Linked DNA regions of Schizosaccharomyces pombe. The protein of the gene in region 2 interacts with the protein of the main gene of each other region in a pairwise test. Each region holds a gene or a part of one and is shown on either strand. Other genes may lie near its edges.

Region 1 (6,568 bases), on a different chromosome or scaffold from region 2:
CTAATACTGTTTATAGAGATATGTGGGCTATTGGCGTTATAACTTATTTTTTACTCAGTGGTTATACTCCATTTGCTCGACCTTCTCAGGTTGAAGTTATAGAAGCAATTTTAGCTAACGAGTACACTTTTAACGATCCTTGCTGGTCTGGCATTTCAGAAACGGCCAAGGACTTTATTAAAAAATGTTTGGAAAACGACCCTTCGAAACGTTTAACTGCTGCTGATGCGTTGAAGCACCCCTTCCTGTCTGAAAAGCGTCCCGCAACCTCCAATTTGCTTCCAAACGTCCGGGAAAATTTCAATGCAAGAAAAACGTTCCGTACTGCCTATAACGCTGTACGTGCTTTCAACACTTGGAAAAAGCTTGAGAATAAGCATTAATTATACACATCTTTTCTTATAACTTTCTTATTTTATCTTGTTATGACTTATGACTTCTTTATTATCTTTTGCCCTCAGTACATACTTTTTTGGTATTAACACTCTTACATGTTAAATATATTCTTTGTGATTTGGAATGCTTGGACCTATCATGTTCTCTACTTAGTTTTTAAAATAGCCTCATACAAAATGCTAAAAGTTATGTCGATGTTTTAAAAAGTAACGCTACCAGTTTTCTGACATTGTTAGACTGTTGACGACAGATGAACGCAGTTGTTTAATTCTCTATATATATTGCAGATGTAAAATTTTGAAATTTTAGCATTTATGACTATTTATGCTTCAAAAATAAAATGACCATTCAGTTAATCTGAAATATAAAAAGAGCTTGGTTATTTCCATATTTTACTCACTGTGTGAGTTCAAATTGCTAATTTCAAAAAGATTCTTCAATACTTATTATGTGTAGTTGACATTAAACACGCTGAGCGTGTTTTGTAAACTGGATCAACAAAATGAAATACAACATCTCAGATCAGAATGAGGTTGCGTACTTCATACTAGTAAAACCAAAAAAATGTAAACTAGAAAAGATTTTTATTTACTAAATTTTAAACCTACAGTATAAGAAGCAGAAGGGAGGTGGTGATCAAACAATTTGCTTTGAGAATTTTTTTAAATATTTTGAACAAAATTAACATCACAGTTTTTTATTCGCAATGTCTCGTTCCTTTTTATTTGTCCATAAATAAATAAAAAAACCAAACAGAAGTTAATACCCATTAACCAAAGCATAAAGACATAAAATTTTAAAATTAACGTTATCCAGATTCAACACAATAACGAGAGTATAATAAATAAAGGTGTGGATAAAAAATACAAATTAAGCAGAAAAAACGCTAACAGATCCATCAGACTTTCCATCCACCAAAAAGCGATCTTTATATTGAACAGAAGTAGGTACTGAGTTAGGTTCGGCTGCTATGGAATCAGAGTGAGAAGGAATTGAACAAATCCAGTTCCGATTAGATACAGTATCAAATATCCTAACATTTGGTTCATCAGATGCTACAGCAAGACGACCTTGATACAGTCTTAAGGAATTCACTTTTTTCTCCATAGGTATAATATTAATTGGCGAGCCACTTCGTAAATCCCATATTCTAACAGAATTGTCATAGCTTCCGGAATACAAATGGTTGGAATCGAATTGCAAAGAAGAAATAGGAGCTGTGTGCCCAATGAAACTTCTCACAGGAAGACCGATTCGCAAATCCCAGATGCGAATAAGTCCATCGACAGTCCCACTAGCCACAGCAGCATCTAAGCAGTCTAAAGCTCTGATGAAAGGTTCTTGTTTGTAAGTGTCACTGACCAAAATTTGACTAGTAGATGTATCATGAGTTTCCGCCCACACAAAGTCCAAAGTTTGAATACAACGCCCCGTAACGATATCCCACTGTCGAACAGTTTTATCATCGGCACCGGTTATAAGCACATCATCACTAGATAATGCTAATGCAGTGACAGGGGCAGTGTGAGATGTTAAAACATTTGTGGCATTGTCAACAGGTTGATCGGGAGGAGAATTAAGGCTCTCTTCAACAGGATTATCCTTATGAAGTACATCATTATCTAAATTCCATAACCGCACGGTTGTATCCATAGAGCCAGTAGCAATAAAGGAGTCTTGAATCGCCAGACAAGAAACATAATCAGAATGACCTTTCAATGAACCCAGGTATACAACACCCGCCATATCCCAAACTTTCACAGTTTTGTCAGTCGAGGCCGTAGCTAAAGTTCCAAAAGGATGGGAAAAATCAAGACTCGTAATATATTCAGAATGAGCTTGAAACTGCTTTACGAGATTTCCAACTATATAATTTTGATTCACAGATGATTCAGTATTCTCTGGTGCTTTAGAAAAAGCGGAATTCTGTTCAAAGTAATCTGATACCACTTCACTAGCCGTAGATGGCCTTGGAGCTCTTGGAGAGATAGCCCTAGCAGATAAATTATCTGTATACTTGTCGTGTGTATCATCAAAAACATCGGGGTTAGCTCCATTTTTACCCGCTTCAATTTGTGAAGGAATTAAATCATGAGAATATGAGCTATACAAATCTTGAGCATCCGAATCTAACATCAGTTTCTCAACAGAAGCCAGCTTGGAAGTATACTTTAAATTCTGTTCCTCGATCTTGCTAAGGCGTTCAAGAACTTGCCTTCTTCGAGAATAGAGTTTGGACAACTCCAAATCAATCTGTGCAAGTTCGCTAGAATTAATGAGCTTTTGAAGACGAAGTTGATTGCATTTCTTCACCAATTTTTCGTGTTGTAAGCTATCGGGCTTAAATTCAGAAGAGTCGGAAACCATTGACACATCAATCGATGATACATTTTTTTTGCCTTCCTTTTGGTTGGAGCTTGTTATCGGCAAAGGTGAAGTGTCGGAATGATCGTGAGCAGTGACTGAGTAACCTTCAAGCAAACTATAAGACGTTTCTTGATGGTCCGGAATATCAAACAAAAGAGGATCGGGCAATGTTTGAGCTTGAACTGGATCAACACCGTTATGTGATAAAAACCATTCATTAAATTGGGATTTGGATAAACGATGGCGTAAAAAAGGATGAGAAAGGCCACGCACGAACAGAGATATGGGATTTCTTTGAGGTGTAACTGGACTAGAATCGAAGAAATTCCACGTTGTATAAGCTATGGCTTTAGTCCAATAAAAAACATCTTTTCTTAAACCTTTCGAAATAGTGGGAGTTAACGAATCATTTGGAATTTTTTGTGAAGAATCTTTGCTCTTTGAATTATTATCAGTCATAAAACGAAAAAAGCCAACAATTAGAAGAAAAGCTAGTGAACTTTAATACTTTAAGGAATTAAAATAATGAGGTAAAGGGTTCAGATCTCCCAAACGTAAAAGCGGTTAAAAAAGGTGGCTTTACGGAGATAAATGATATATCCAGATGAAGGCCTTAAAAAAGAAAGCAATTTTTAGATGAGTTGAGAAATAAAATCTTTTCAATCGACGCTACGTGTAAGGTATAAGAAGTTCAATAAGAGTATGATTCCCGCACGTACTTTTACAAAACAAAAACCAATGGGAATTAAGCAAACAACTAAAATTTGTAGTAAATGTCCAGCTCTTTTAATCTCAGCTTGTATTTGATAAAAATCAAGAGACAATTGAATATACAAGCTTTTTTGTCACTGGTGTGTGGAAGAAGGAAGGAAAAAGCAACGTAAGTACTAGAGGGATGAGCGAATCCAATGGCGGTAGAGAAAGTAGAAATGGAATATGTAGGTCAAAAATGAAAGAGAAGTAGAAAAAAAAAATCCATACTATGAATAAAGTTATTACTTCAACTGTTTGGCACTTGTAAGAAATTATCCTCATCGAATTTATCTTATTAGCACTATAAATAAATTCACACAATTTACTGAAACAAGAGTACCAAAGTTCATAAAAATTATAAATTATATATCTTACTATAGACTGCTAATTTTACTGGCCCTTCAAACCCTCTTACAGTTTTATTGAATATATATATAAATTGACATCTTAACAGTAATGCAATAAAATAAATAAAACATTTAGTAAAGCGGAATGATGGTTCAGACATTACATATTATTTTTGTAATAATGAGTAGAATAACTCAACATGTTTCTTTCTTGAATTTTATATTTTTTTAACCTTTACTTTAATTTGATTTGTTATTTTTATTAAAAAATTAAAAAAATTCATAGGAACTCATCATCTATTGCCTAATTTAAGACTCAAAGACTCTTCTTTATTCAAAACTGAATATTATTTAAATACATATAAAATATACATATATGGATACAAGAGATTCGCTAATTATCAATTTCAATCGCCAAGTTTATATAGAAATTTCATATTCAATATTCTCATTAAAAATACGTTCTAAAAGTAATTAGATATAAACTACTAAGTTTAACCCCATTCAACCAAGTCCCGTTTAGCTCAATCGGCTTAGAGCGTCCGGCTTTTAACCGGAAGGTTGCGAGTTCGAGTCTCGCAGTGGGAGTTTACTTTTTATTTTTTGTTTCGATGCAGTAGTGAGGTTTTCACTTCCGGTAAATTCGTAAACAGTAAATAGTTATTAAAGCCTAATTCGACGTACTTTTTTGTACCTATTCATTGGTTTCATGGTGAATGATGATTATACAAAATACAAACTTATTATGACTGGAAACAAAGATTGACTTGCTCATTTTAAATCTTTTGGCTTATAAGATAATTAATTCTCTTCATATTTGGATACACAAATTACAAACCAAATTCGCATAAAAATATTTTCATTACAATTATTAGTCTTGCCTTTAAACCGAATTCATTTTAAATGCTGTTAACAAAAAAAAAACCTTAAAATTATAATTTAAGATTCTGACCTCTTTAGAAGTAAAAACAAGCAAATCTTTCAAGAAATTTCTAGTCTTTGTAATTTTGTTCAAAACTTCCCAAACAGCGACCTTGTAGTTGTGCTATTTTCTTTTTTTCTTTAAACAATCATAAACCAATCTACCAAAATTTTCATTTCTTTTATTAACTTAAAATCTTTTCTCCAATTCAACCTTTTACTTTTTTTTTTTAAACCCAAATAACTTTGTACGATGCAAAAAGATTTAGATCGTAAGTCCAAGCTCCAATGGGTTTGTTGATTCTAGAATCTTGCCGGGAGCAGCCACATTTCCAGTAGGTTGAGCAACGCCATTGGAAATAATGATTTCTTCAGGTACACCGGCAGGGGAAATCTTCCAATGCTTATATTCACGACGTTCTTCAATATAATCAAACGCGTATTCACCTATTTGATCAGCATCCACACCAATTTCTTCAGCATCAGGGCTCACTCGAAGTTGAAGGTAGGGAATTTTGTCCGTAATGAATAAAATGATAAACGTGACAACAAAGTCGTATGCACCAACAGCACAAATATAGGCCATTTGCAAGCCTAGTTGGCGCCAATGGTGATCAAACCAACCACCTCTGATTTTGTTTTCACCAACATAAATACCATCCATTGCTGCGATATAATCAACGGCAAACAAACCATTCAAAAAGGTACCCACAAAACCCGCAACACCGTGGATAGCGAAAATATCCATCGCATCATCAATGCGCATATGTGACTTTAACTTAATGGCCCAATTGCAACATAAGCCAGTAATAGCACCAATTGCCAAAGAGGCATGAGGACTCACAAAACCAGCACAAGGCGTTGCAGCCACCAAACCGGCAACAACCCCGGAACAAAAACCTATGGTTGACCATTTCCTAGTGCGAAAAATGTAGTCGTAAATAACCCATACTAAACCAGCTACAGCACCTGCTAAGTTTGTGTTGGTGATTGCCATAGCGGCTCGCAGATTGGAGCCGTAAGCACTACCACCGTTGAAACCAAGCCAACCAAACCATAGCAGAGATGTTCCCAATACAACATTGAGCACAGAATGAGGGCGAAATTGTTCCTCAACAAATTTGGATCGACGTCCTAAACAAACCGTATACGCCAAAGCTGCAAATCCTGATCCAACTTCTACAGGTCCTCCGCCAGCGAAATCGTATACACCAAATTTAAAAGCCCAACCATTTGGATTCCAAATCCAACACGCTATGGGACAATAAACGACAGTGAGCCACACAAATGTGATGATGAGCATTGGACCAATACGACCTCTTTCAGCGGCGGCACCAGTGAAGAGGGCTACAGTAATTGCGGCGAACATTCCTTGAAAATTTGCAAATACAAGCTCGGGAATATTATTGCTACCAGGAGAGTAATCGGCAAGTGTGCGAATAAAGGCAAAATGACGAAGATTGCCAATATAACCAGAGGTTCCAGTTTGAGAAAAAGCAAGAGAATAACCCCAGAAATACCATTGGAAAAAACTAACACATAAACCAAGCATAGAGAGCATGATAAGAGCCAATGTATTTTTCCTTCTTGCTAAGCCAGAGTAGAAAAAAGCCACACCAGGCACCATAATAAGACACAATGGAGTACAAGCTAAAATCCAACTAGTGTTTCCATAATCATAAAATTTATTAAGATCTTCGTGCAAAACATTTCCACCACTACCACCACTAGGTGTAGCTGTAGCTGGCAGTACTGAAATATAAACAGTAGAAGTTGCTGTGGGA
Region 2 (4,775 bases):
GAGTCGCATTTAATATTCCTTTTTTGTTAATTTGCATCTTTTTTTATATCCAGTCTAGTCCACCATTTTATTATGGGTATGCTCTTTTCCCAACCATATTTCTGCAACTCATTCATTCAATTTTCCCAAATACCAAACTTGGTTTCAAAAATTTTTTAACAGTTGCAAAGCAAAAGCATGGGTTTTCTCTATTAAAAATTTTGTTTATTTCGTTGTGTATTCTCTGTCTGTTACAATTTATCGTTTACAGTTATTTTCACCGCGAAGGATTTTCCGTAATTTTAATGGGATTGGCCGCATGGCCATGGCTCCTTCATGCGGATTATGCTTTTTCTCACAAAACTATATCAGTCTCGTGGTCAGTGCTTACGAGCTTATTATGCTTTTTTACGATTTTACCAGTTAATAAAAAGGAATCGTTATTATTTATTTTCGCTGGAGGATTTGCAATGTCAGTTGCTGGGGTTTTTTATATTCTTTACCGACGAAATCAAGCATTTCAATATAGCTCAACGGTCACAAACAAACAATTGGTTTTACAAGTTCTTATTATTATGGCAACTGTCCCTGTTACGCTTAAAATTGCAGACAGTCTGCAAAGGAATATTGCCATACCACCAATTTTACGTTTAGTTGCATTTGGACTTTTCATAACGTCGTACATCATTCCAAGTCATCATATTCGGTCTTGTAAACACTATTTTCTTGACCGTCTGGCTATTTTGTTTCTCACATTTTCGCCTACAATGTGCATGTTATCTATTTCTTTTGAAGCACTCTTCTATGTTGTTTTATTTATAACATTAGGATTATGGATGGAACTAGAAACAGAACTTCAAAAATATACGGAACAACTACATCCCGAATATAGCAGAAAGAAAGATGCAAAATTCCATTTATCTCTTTCTCATATTCGCATTTCCCTTTTCTTCTACATATTTATTAACGTCGCATTTTTTGGTACAGGAAACGTGGCTTCACTTTCCACATTCGCTTTGGATTCGGTGAAACGTTTTATTCCTGTATTCAATCCGGTAACACAAGGTGCACTCTTAATGTACACTATTCTGGTTCCATTTATCGCACTTTCGGCAGCTTTTGGAATAATGAACAAACGACTGGGAGGGATTCAGCAAGTTACTTTCTTTTTGGCAGTTGGAATGGCTGATATAGTTACAATTAACTTTTTTTATTTAGTAAAGGACGAAGGCTCGTGGAAGGACATTGGTGTGAGTATTAGTCATTTTTGCATCAGCAACTTTTTGATACTTTTTATTACTGCTCTGGAACATGCAAGCGCGATTCTTTGCAAAAATATTACCTACACTATTCATGAGAAAGTTAATTAAATTTAGATAATATTAAGATAGCTGATACTCGATGAAGTATCGCATCGTTCTCTCTTTTTTTCTTCCCTTACTTATTCTTTATAAATATATATTGGTAAACCGATTATGAGAATGTCTATACATGACCTTATTAACGAAGTAGGTAAATATTAAAAGTATAAAACACTGATAAACGAAGGATTATTTTAAAGAAAATGTGTTTGTATAATTGTAGGCATGCAAACTACTACTAAGGTTCTTGGAGATTATGAGATGTAGTTTATATCCATACAGATTGTAAGGATTATATCAAACGAATGGTGTTGCGAAAACACAAAGTATGAACCCGGAGTGGGATAAAACGTACCAAATAAAAAAGTTTAAAGCAGGATTTATATGAGTGACAAGGAAGAAGTCAAAGGACTTTTCAAGCACAATCAATTAATCATACTCGATAAGACCTTGTTGACCACCATACCGCCGTTTCCATGCGGAAAACCCACCATGAAGGATGTAAACAGTAGGAAGGTTTTGAAAGAGCTTTTCTTTTTGGCTTAAAGAGAGCTTTTCCTTACTTTCTGTTATACGGTTTCTCAAAATTTCTGAAAGTACTCTGGCAGCTTTAGGACCGCGAACTTGAGAATAAGTGCAATGGACGATGAGTGATCTCTTCTTCATGAGATCGTCAACATGCTGATCAACACTAGCGAGAAAAGTGTCGGAAGGAATACGCACACTGCCAGGAATACGTTCTCCTTCGTAATCGTAGTCACGAACATCGATTATGCTAATCTCGTTAGGCGATTCCATTAACCAGCCTTTTAAAGCATCAGGCGATACATAAGACAAAGTAGACATCGTTTACGAAAGGCTATAAAAGTGAATTAAAAGCAAAATGAACAACTATCAAGTAGCTGAATTGAAGCAAACGGCTATGTAGAAAAAAAAATTCAGTTAGAAAAGTAGAGAACACCAAACACAATAGTAGTAGCTACAAACTCGCTTAAGTAAAGATTAAAAGAGGGAAATCAAATAGTCTGGTATTATTAATAGTATCCGTTTACAAGGTATGTATTTCTCGTCTACTGAAATATATTAGTGGTAGAAAACAAGGATGCCAATGTCTCAGAACGAAGTCTGTAGCGTGGTACGTTACATCCAGTACTGGATTTTGAGATTTTGGAATCACAAACATGAGAACATGTATGAGATAATCGGTGTCGTTTCCTTTTATTCTTTTTTTATTTTTTTAATTATTTCTTTGCATTTCAGGGCCGAGTTTGTCATTTGGGGTTGTGTTCAGTTTTGTTAATGTAAATAAAAAAGGCTAGTAGGAATGTCGCAAATTTATGGGCATCGTTGCGACCAAGATCTTCTTCTTTATTTTCTTAAAATGCTGGAATAAAGAGGCATTTGTAGAATCCGCTTTTCTCTTCAACAGATTCTCTATTGACTTAATGAATTAAACCGATTAATCGAAAATTTTTATATCGCGATAACGAGGAAATGTGTTTACAGCTAACTCATTAATTATTTGTATATACTACCTGTAGAATAAAAAAATTAAAAGGGATATTTTTTTACTTCTAAATTTGCTATGTTAAGCCATATTGATTAAAGTGAATAAATATATAGCTAGTTGCGACGTGAAATGATCGGCCAACATTATTTAAAGATATTAGTCTAAAGTGACTTGTATTTATTCTTTTTGGTCTTTTTATTGCTTTAAGAAGCTTAACAAAAAACGGACTAGAAATTATAGAAAAAATGAAAGAAAGTATGAAACAAGGAAATCAACAAGAAAAGCGATTAAAGGAACTTTTCCTCAAAATAAAAAGGAAGTAATTATAAAAATGAGAAGAAAATTAATTAGTAGAGCAGAAGATGAAAGAGGATCTTGCCATTTACCATTCACAGCAAAGAAGTCTTTCATTAGTAAACGTCTTTAAACGATTAAAAAAGAAGAAGAAGAAGAAAAAAAAGGATTTATATGAGCATGCAATAATTGTAAACAATATGATCATTTGATTTTGCCTTTCGTGAAACTATTTTTTAATATGCCTTTTTCATAAACAAACAATAAACACTATAATCAACCAACATTTTCCCAAATTCCCAATTAAAGTCATTGATCGGTATAATCACGATCATCAAAAAAAAATTATAAATCCTTTACGATTTGTCGGTTCTGTGAAAACGATACACTCACGCATATTCATATACATATTCATGGCAAGAAAACATTAGGCTCTTCGAGACTGCAAAAACAAACGATGCTCTAAATCCTTTTCGGACAATTTGGATTCAGTGGTAATCGTATTACTGAGCGTTCTTCTAAACTTTCCTTTTTTCTGTGGATTGGTCAAGCTTCTTCGAATGCTTTTCCAAATTTCGACATAAAAAAAGTAAAACATCACTGCAACGGCAACAACTCCCCATTCCCATCCAATATACGTATGCTTGAAAACGTCTCTATTAATAACAGGAATGTAGATGGTAGGAAACACCGAAACAGCTGCAAGGGCAATGGCCCAAGCGAGGAATTTGTTTTCAACCAACGTATGGAGAAAATAACGGAAGTTCCATTCACCCCAAGGAATCCCATGAAGGTTGAATAGGGAGTTGTCAAAGTTTTTCACCTCGACTGCCATAATAAGGATGCAAAAGGTCACAACTGCAAAAACAGCAGACCGTGCTTTGAAAACATCGTTGCATCCAGCATGATAGTGGGCATTGCAATCATATGATAAATTGCCTGTACCGAATCCATACATTATGACAACCCAAGTCATAAGACTAACGACTCCAAGGAAAAATCCATACACCATCATGTCAACAATTAGACTCTTTTGGAAAATACCAACTTTGTTGTCGTGAGGGAGACGCTCCATTACATCAGGTTGAGCTAGCTCCATTCCCAGTCCCATCGAAGGAAAAGAGGAGGTAATCATATTACACCAAAGAATTTCTACGGGAGACATTGGGAACACGGAAAGATGAACCTCGTCTCTAAAGGCCAAGCCGACCACCAAGAGTATTACTTCGCCCACGTTTGAAACAAGCAAGTGCAGAACAAACCTCATGATGTTATCAAACATACGGCGTCCTTCTTCAATGGCATTGACAATGGACGAGAAATTGTCGTCCGTTAAAACAATATCACTAGCATCTTTGGCTACATCACTTCCGTTTTGACCCATTGCGATTCCTACGTTAGCTTGCTTCAAAGATGGAGAATCGTTAACGCCATCACCTGTCATCGCTACAAACGCCTTTCTTCTATGCAAGGCTTCAATCATTTTCACCTTTGTCTGAGGAGCACAGCGAGCAATAACTAGACAAAGAGCTTTCAATGAATCAACTTCTTCATCACTAAGAGCATCAAACTGTGAACCGGTCATCACCATCCATGACATATTAGGATCTCGATCAGAGATAAATGGAGGT
Region 3 (6,832 bases), on a different chromosome or scaffold from region 2:
ATAATCAAATATTTCCCTGCTTGGTTTTTCAAATCCAACGTCGTACGAAAACGCATATATATCTATTAGATGATCTATGCCGTAATCTTCAAGCACTGTACGAATTCTTTCGTCTGTGTTTGAAATAATACCAATAATGTATTTCCTCTCTTCTTTATTTCTCTTAAGGAAATCAATCAGAAGAGGATGAATCGTGTAACCCGTCTTTTTGGAAAAGTAACTCCATAGCTCTTCAGCCATTTCTGCAGGAACAGGAGTTGGAAAAGAATGTTCGATAACCTAAAATTGTTAGCATGTAAAGGTTTTTTAGAAATCAAGAGATTCAATTCTTTACAAAACACAAATCTCAATGAAATTCAGACACATACTTTGATCCACCAGTCATGAGGATTTAATCCTGACTTTTTTCCATGATTCTTATGCTTTTCACTGAAATCCTTGAATGCTAAATTATTAGATAAATAGAAACCAAAAGCTAACCTTTATTACTATTGTGTTCAATTTCATCAATAGTTGCATGAACTCCATACTTCTGAGCGACTTCGCTGTACACAATTGGAACAGGTTTACTTAAATGAAGGATTGTTCCAAAAGCATCGAACGTAACCAACTTGATCTTTTGGATATTTTTTGAGGGAATCATAATTCCAGGTTGTACTTTGATGGGACACACTACACAAAGCAATTTACATAAGGTACTCCTTACCACCAGTGCGTTGTTCGGTGTGATAAATAATATTTGCAAATCACTTTTATTGCGAGCGATTGCGTTCTACATATTAAATAATATACGAATAGATTAAAAGTTCATTAAAAATTTATCATGTTACAAGACGAGAGACACGCTACAGCAATAGTAGTCGTTAATTTACGTCGGATACCTTACTAGGCGAGACCAAAAAACAAATTTCAGTAAATAATGCCATAACAGATCAAAACCTGAAAAAATAGAAGTATGATAATACCAAATGTCTGTCATATAGAATCAGTCCCACAAATACAAGCAAAGAAAAAGCAAGTGAAGGTATAAGCTAGGTCACATAATGATTTAAAATCTTTCATCGATAGCTTCCACTAAATGCCATATTGTACCTGAAGGCAGGCGAAGCCATTTATCCGTCGAATCATCAGCAGTACGATCTTCAATGGAAGTTACCCTTCCTAACATCCAGTCGCGGCTTTCAAGTTTCAAATGCGGTTGAGTGTTCAAATAATAATGAGGAGCGTTAACATTAAAAGCCGCCCACACCTTTTTGTTACCGGCGGTACGTCGAGTAGGCAAAAACAAGACCAAGGATCCTTGTTTGAAATTCCTTAATGAGACTTTACTTTGAGAGTCCAAAATAGCTTTCAGCGCCTTGTCCCTGTTAGATTGAAATTCACGTTTCCAACGAAGTTCATGATTATGTGCTTGAGTCAAAACACTGACAACAAAGTTATGGAAAGAGTCAAAATCTAAAGAACTCATTCTGTTCAAAAATTCCTGGAAATTCCTATCAGCATCCTCCCCATCCATCCAATAAAGATACTGTAAATCTTTGGAATTAAATTCAATTTGGCGATCTGGAATCGATGCATGGCCATCTCTTTCGTTATCTGAATCAAATCCAGGCTGAGTAACGCATTCCCGAAGAACAGACTGTAACTCATTACACCGGAATACAATGGTATAAAGTTTCTGAGTTAATATCTTACATTGTTCTTTTCGATTCTCGGAAAGTTTGAGTAAATCAGCTTTCTCTGCAAGAGCATAATCTCTCTCTTCAATAATATGTTGTACTGCTTCGGCATCTTTTGCAAGAGTAGCGTATTCGCCCTTTTGCTTCAAACTCGTGAGTTGAAGCTTGAAAGCATTATAAAGTTCTTGCAAGCTATCAACTTTGCCCTCAAATACGGAGTAAAGGTTTAATATGTTCGGTTCATTAGAATGCATCTCCTCGTTTGATTGCTGTTCTGCAACTGCCGCTTCATTTTTCGTAAGCAGTTTCCGTGTTGATGAAAGTTCCTCCTGTAAATTTTCGTATTTTTGTAGCACTTCCTCATTTTCAGTTTCGAGGTATTGGATCTTTTCTTCCTTCCCTTGAAGCTCAATTAATAAGTCCTCATTTCTTTTATTTACCAAATCTAATTCGTTGCGTAATTGATTAACCTCATCTTGAAGTCGTAATATGTGGCTGTCGGTAAAAGAAGTTTTGCGATTAGTTAATTTACGAATTACGTTTAGAGGCACAATACTAGGGGAAACACGGTAAAATGGCTGAGAAGAATTAGACTGCTCATTGATGGGTGGATGTGGAGCATTTGGAGATAAACCATCATTGTTAATGTTATAATTAAAGCCGTTTTGATGGCTTAACATTGCCTCTAAATTATTGCAACGATTTTGATACATTGCCAATTTTTCATGTAATGAATTGTTCGCTTGAACCGTATTGGAAACGGCTTCTCGAGGACTTCCAGGAAAGCCCAAATATTCTGAGAGCCGATTGCTTAGCATTTGATGAAAAGTTTGGTAATTCGGATGTGCTTGAATATTGAGTAAATAATTAGAAATTTCGTCACGAGTTAAAACTGGTAAGTACTTTAGCTGGCCATGATTAAAAAGCAAATTAGAGAAATGACTGAGCCAAGACTTCCTAAGAGAAAGCTCCTTCTCCTGGTCTAAAGGAAGAGAACTATCATGGCTTACATTGTATGATTCCTGCCATTCAGTCCTCCTCAGTGCCTCCATTAAAATGTCGATATATAGCGAAAAAATGTTTCGAGACTGAGAAAGAACGAATTTGCTTCTGTCAAGCTCTTCTGCTATTTGTCGAAGATATTCGTACAATGCATCATATCTAAGAGAAACCTTATAAAAGGAAAGCCAAAAAGATTTCAAAGATATTAGTGATGACTTTCTAGAACTTTTTAATTCCGACAGATTACTTTGAAGTTTTTCCATGCAATCAGTAATTTCGGTTTCGTAATTACATTTTGGTTTGATTTGAGAAGTAGTTGAAGTTGACTCTATTTTAAGGATCTCTTGCAATATATTGGCTGCATCCTGAGCGACGGAACGTAGATGATAATAAGCATCATCTCCTTCCTTGATTGAAGGAACTTCCTTGAATGGGGAAACGATAATACTATTTGCGGCGCCAATGCACTGTTGGACTCGTTTTTGAGCTTCAGCATAACGAGCTGAAATGGAGTTTAACCAGGAGTCCAATTTAGTCCAATTTGTTGAAAGTATTTTAAGAGGAGTAATGGGTAAAGAACCAGTTGGTAGAGCGAGGAAATCATGAAGTAAATCAGACACAGATACTCGATCTAGTCTTTCGTAGAAAACGAAAAGTAAATCTTTCATACCAGATTGTCTTCTTTGTAAATAATTCATTGCAACTTCTGGAGAAACAATACTAGTAGAATACTCATCATGGCATACGCTTAATTGATTATGAATCTTTGAAGAAGACTCTAAAATATCAGATAATAATGAAAGACACTTGCTGATTTTATCTTTCCATTGATCTGAAGAAGAATCAGCTATAATCCCAGTAAGTACATTAGATATTGGTTGTCCTTTCAGAGAAGGAATAGAAGGAATTTTATCACCATCGTAGGTGAAAGTCAACAAGTTTTGATCTAGTACGTAAATAACCACATCACTTTCACTATTTAGTACGGTTTCATTCAAAGACATTCCGTTCGGCAATAATAGTTTTGCTTCATCACTAAGTCCAATATTGAGCTCCATAATCCAAGCTACAAGATTTTGGGGAGTCCATTGTACATTATCTATGGTCCAACTCTTTCCGGAGAATGAATCATTCAATCGAAAACGCATACTGACCTATTGTATTGCTTAACTTTATCATTCGCGATTCCCCAACATTAAACTTGAAATATTTGATCTAAAAGAAAACTCAATATCAGTTATTTATAATCCGTTGCATATAGTTATTCTCTGTCCTTATATTCCGTTTTGTTTGGTAAGTTGGCGGGTTCTATTTGGTTTAGGCGATTGTTGGGTACTAACTACCAAAAGGAGATTGGCATTGTATGAACACTGAGTTGAAGCTGTAAGACAATACAGCTTAAAATTTCAAATGTCTTTTCATTTAGCTTAAAAAAACAATTTTAATTATTGGTTTTATTATGTTTGTCTACTGAAATATATGTCATATGTAGCCGTATACCCTCAAGCTGGTGGGTTCGGAAACTCAGCCTTAACCAAGCATCTACACTGGGTGTGAACGAAAGTGTTGGGGATGCTAATTTACATTGCGGATTTCATATATTTAATTTAAAGATATCTTCTACTTGTTTACTTTTCATTCTTTTAGAATACAAGTATTCTAAACTCGGAAGTATTTTTCTTGTTTTTTTAACCGCGAATCTTTTGGTTACCGATTTCTCTGTCTTTTATCGATAAAGTTTTTAAAAAATTAAAAAAGTCAAAATTTCTCTACTGTAGGAAAAACTTTTGAGCATCTTTTAGCATATTTGGTACATTTTTTTCTGGCATTTGCATAGCTTGTCCTTTAAATCTTCATTTCTTTATTAGTGGTGATTGCACGGCTCATGTTAATTAATTTGGTTTTAATCTAGGGATTAATTATATTCTTTTTATTTGCATTTCACACTTATTCTTTTCTTTACATTTAGCTTCATTTCTGAAATTCTGAATGGGTGACTTTCAATCACGATATGAGATCCTTGCCGCTATTATGGGTCCTCCCAATACAGCCTCCTTTAAAGAGGAAGAGCATTCGGGTTCCCAAACAAAAAACTATCCTGTTGTGGTAAAATGTATTCAGGAACATGATCCCGTCGATACAACCAATGTGCTTGTAGCTGACGACCTTGATTCGAACTTTGAACCATTTTCGATTACAGATGATTATGGTAAATATGAAAACACTTTAGTAAGCCATTCCTCAACAATCTTAAATGAGCCTTACAACGAATCACCCTCATCATCATCTTCTGATTCCTCTTCTCGTTCTACCTCTCCTTTTTCTCAGTTGTCTTCTCAAAGCCTACGCCTTAATGCGGAGGAGATAGCGCCTTCTAGCTTAATAAATAAGGCCGTCCAATCTACCTTACGTCTTTCGGAGCCACTGGTTTCTCCAATAAAGTGTCCTTTATCCGAGCAATTCATCAATTTTATTAATCAGCAGGATTCTGATAAGGTAGTTCTTATAAGAGGGTTTTTATTACCACATTTGGCTTCTTTAACCACTAAAAACGTTTCCGAACCGGAATTGGATAAACTTAGGCATTCTTTGTATAACTGGTGGGTATCCATTCTTCGACGTTTACAATCTAATATTTCTACTTCAGAACGTATCACATATACAAAGGCCATACTTGCTATCGCCAAGCATCATTGTTGGAACAAAGTGGAACACTCTGCTTTATTGTACTTGGAACACCAATTAATACTTTACGATACATTGACATTTGTAGTTCATCTGCTTTCTCAAAAGTCCTTGCCGTATTCATTAACGACATTTTGTGCGAGTATCTTGGTTCTCTCCTTTTTTCAACTTCCACTTTTTGCCGACCATTTCTTGAGCGCATTAGATGTAAAGAAAAAGTACATTGATGCTTTGGGCTCATCCTTCGACGAAAAAATAATGATTATTTCACATAAGTATCTTGCGCCATTTTTTACTGACCAATTTTCCTCGACTATGCATCCGTATTACCCAAAACGAACTTCAACGCCTTTTACTATAGGTTACAATAGGCAGCCTATTGAATTCACACGAGCATGGATGCGTCGCTTTAAGTCTTCTACAGGTGGATTCTTTTTCGAGTTTTTATCATGCTATCATTCTTTTTTAGCTTTGCAATTCTCTTTCGAATTACCTGATAATGTCATATATTTCGCTCCAGGTTACATATGCTTACATGCTTATCTTCTTGAATTAACCATTTCGGTTATACATATTAGCGACAAAAAGCCATTAATGTTACCTACAGGACATGAGCAGTTTCCATGTAAGACTTTACCAGAAGTAAATCCATCAATGGAAGAATACAATCCTAAGATGCCTGTAACTGCCACGACTTTATCGACTCTTCAACAGTTTGTCGGACATATTAAAGATGCTTTTAAAAAGATTGGGGATTGCAGACAAGAGCAGATGCGTTTATTAGCCGTTTTAGAGCAAGTTTTAATTAATGTTGCCAAAAACACCCCTGCTTTTAATCTTCAATCTTGTTTCTTGCTGTGTTCTCTTGTTGAACAGTGTTTCGGGGTATTTAACGATTTCTCACACCGTTTTGATTTTTCTTTTTGGATTTCAGTTGCCAAAAGATTAATATCAACTTCCCACAATATGTCCATTGTTCGTAGTATAACTTTCATTTATGCTGTCTGGCCATATTTAGATATAAAATCTAAAGAATTGGTAACGTTGCAATGGTTACTAGAAGAAAATACTTTCCAGGAATTGTTTCTTCATTGGTCGCCTCTTGTGAGAGCTTATTTTCAGCGCCTTGTATGTTGGAGATTCTTAAAGCTTGATGATATGGAAGAATTCCAATTTAAAGGTACAGTTACTTTACGTGTAAAAAACCTTTTAAAGCATTATTTCACAGCCCAAGCTCTTTACCACGAAGAATGTCTCGTAAACGGTAGGGCATCTCCTATCACAAAACCCAGTGAACCTGTTCCAATGAGGCGGTTAACCATTGTTTGTAATCATTATCAAAATTATGGTAATTCGGAGAGTACCGAATTTGAGCTTTCCAATTATAAACAAGATGATGGCACAATTCAAGCATTAGTCACTGATGTCGTCTCAATTTCAAATAGCTTTTCGAGTGGTTTGAAAAA

What was found.
Region 1: the proteins of ibp1 (region 2) and mdv1 interact in a two-hybrid assay, tested with the Schizosaccharomyces pombe proteins (2 studies listed by BioGRID).
Region 3: the proteins of ibp1 (region 2) and atg11 interact in a two-hybrid assay, tested with the Schizosaccharomyces pombe proteins (2 studies listed by BioGRID).

Annotation. Positions count from the first base shown.
Region 1 is NC_003424.3:1,731,647-1,738,214, reverse strand, and holds mdv1 (CCR4-Not complex subunit Caf4/Mdv1), read right to left. Parts: upstream 3,621-6,568; 5' UTR 3,223-3,620; coding exon 1,267-3,222; 3' UTR 908-1,266; downstream 1-907. Other genes in the region: calcium/calmodulin-dependent protein kinase Cmk1, read left to right, coding at 17-383; plasma membrane ammonium transmembrane transporter Amt2, read right to left, coding at 5,050-6,568.
Region 2 is NC_003423.3:610,081-614,855, reverse strand, and holds ibp1 (Cdc25 family phosphatase Ibp1 ), read right to left. Parts: upstream 2,438-4,775; 5' UTR 2,187-2,437; coding exon 1,770-2,186; 3' UTR 1,537-1,769; downstream 1-1,536. Other genes in the region: its8 (pig-N family GPI synthesis protein), read left to right, coding at 1-1,349; P-type calcium transport ATPase Cta3, read right to left, coding at 3,572-4,775. UniProt on the Schizosaccharomyces pombe protein: May play a role in DNA replication checkpoint via regulation of hsk1 or may act downstream of hsk1 in an S phase regulatory pathway.
Region 3 is NC_003424.3:2,629,541-2,636,372, forward strand, and holds atg11 (autophagy associated protein kinase regulator Atg11), read right to left. Parts: upstream 4,012-6,832; 5' UTR 3,830-4,011; coding exon 1,049-3,829; 3' UTR 908-1,048; downstream 1-907. Other genes in the region: SPOM_SPAC7D4.05 (hydrolase), read right to left, coding at 1-279, 369-445, 481-643; protein ahk1, read left to right, coding at 4,671-6,832. UniProt on the Schizosaccharomyces pombe protein: Involved in cytoplasm to vacuole transport (Cvt), pexophagy, mitophagy and nucleophagy. Recruits mitochondria for their selective degradation via autophagy (mitophagy) during starvation.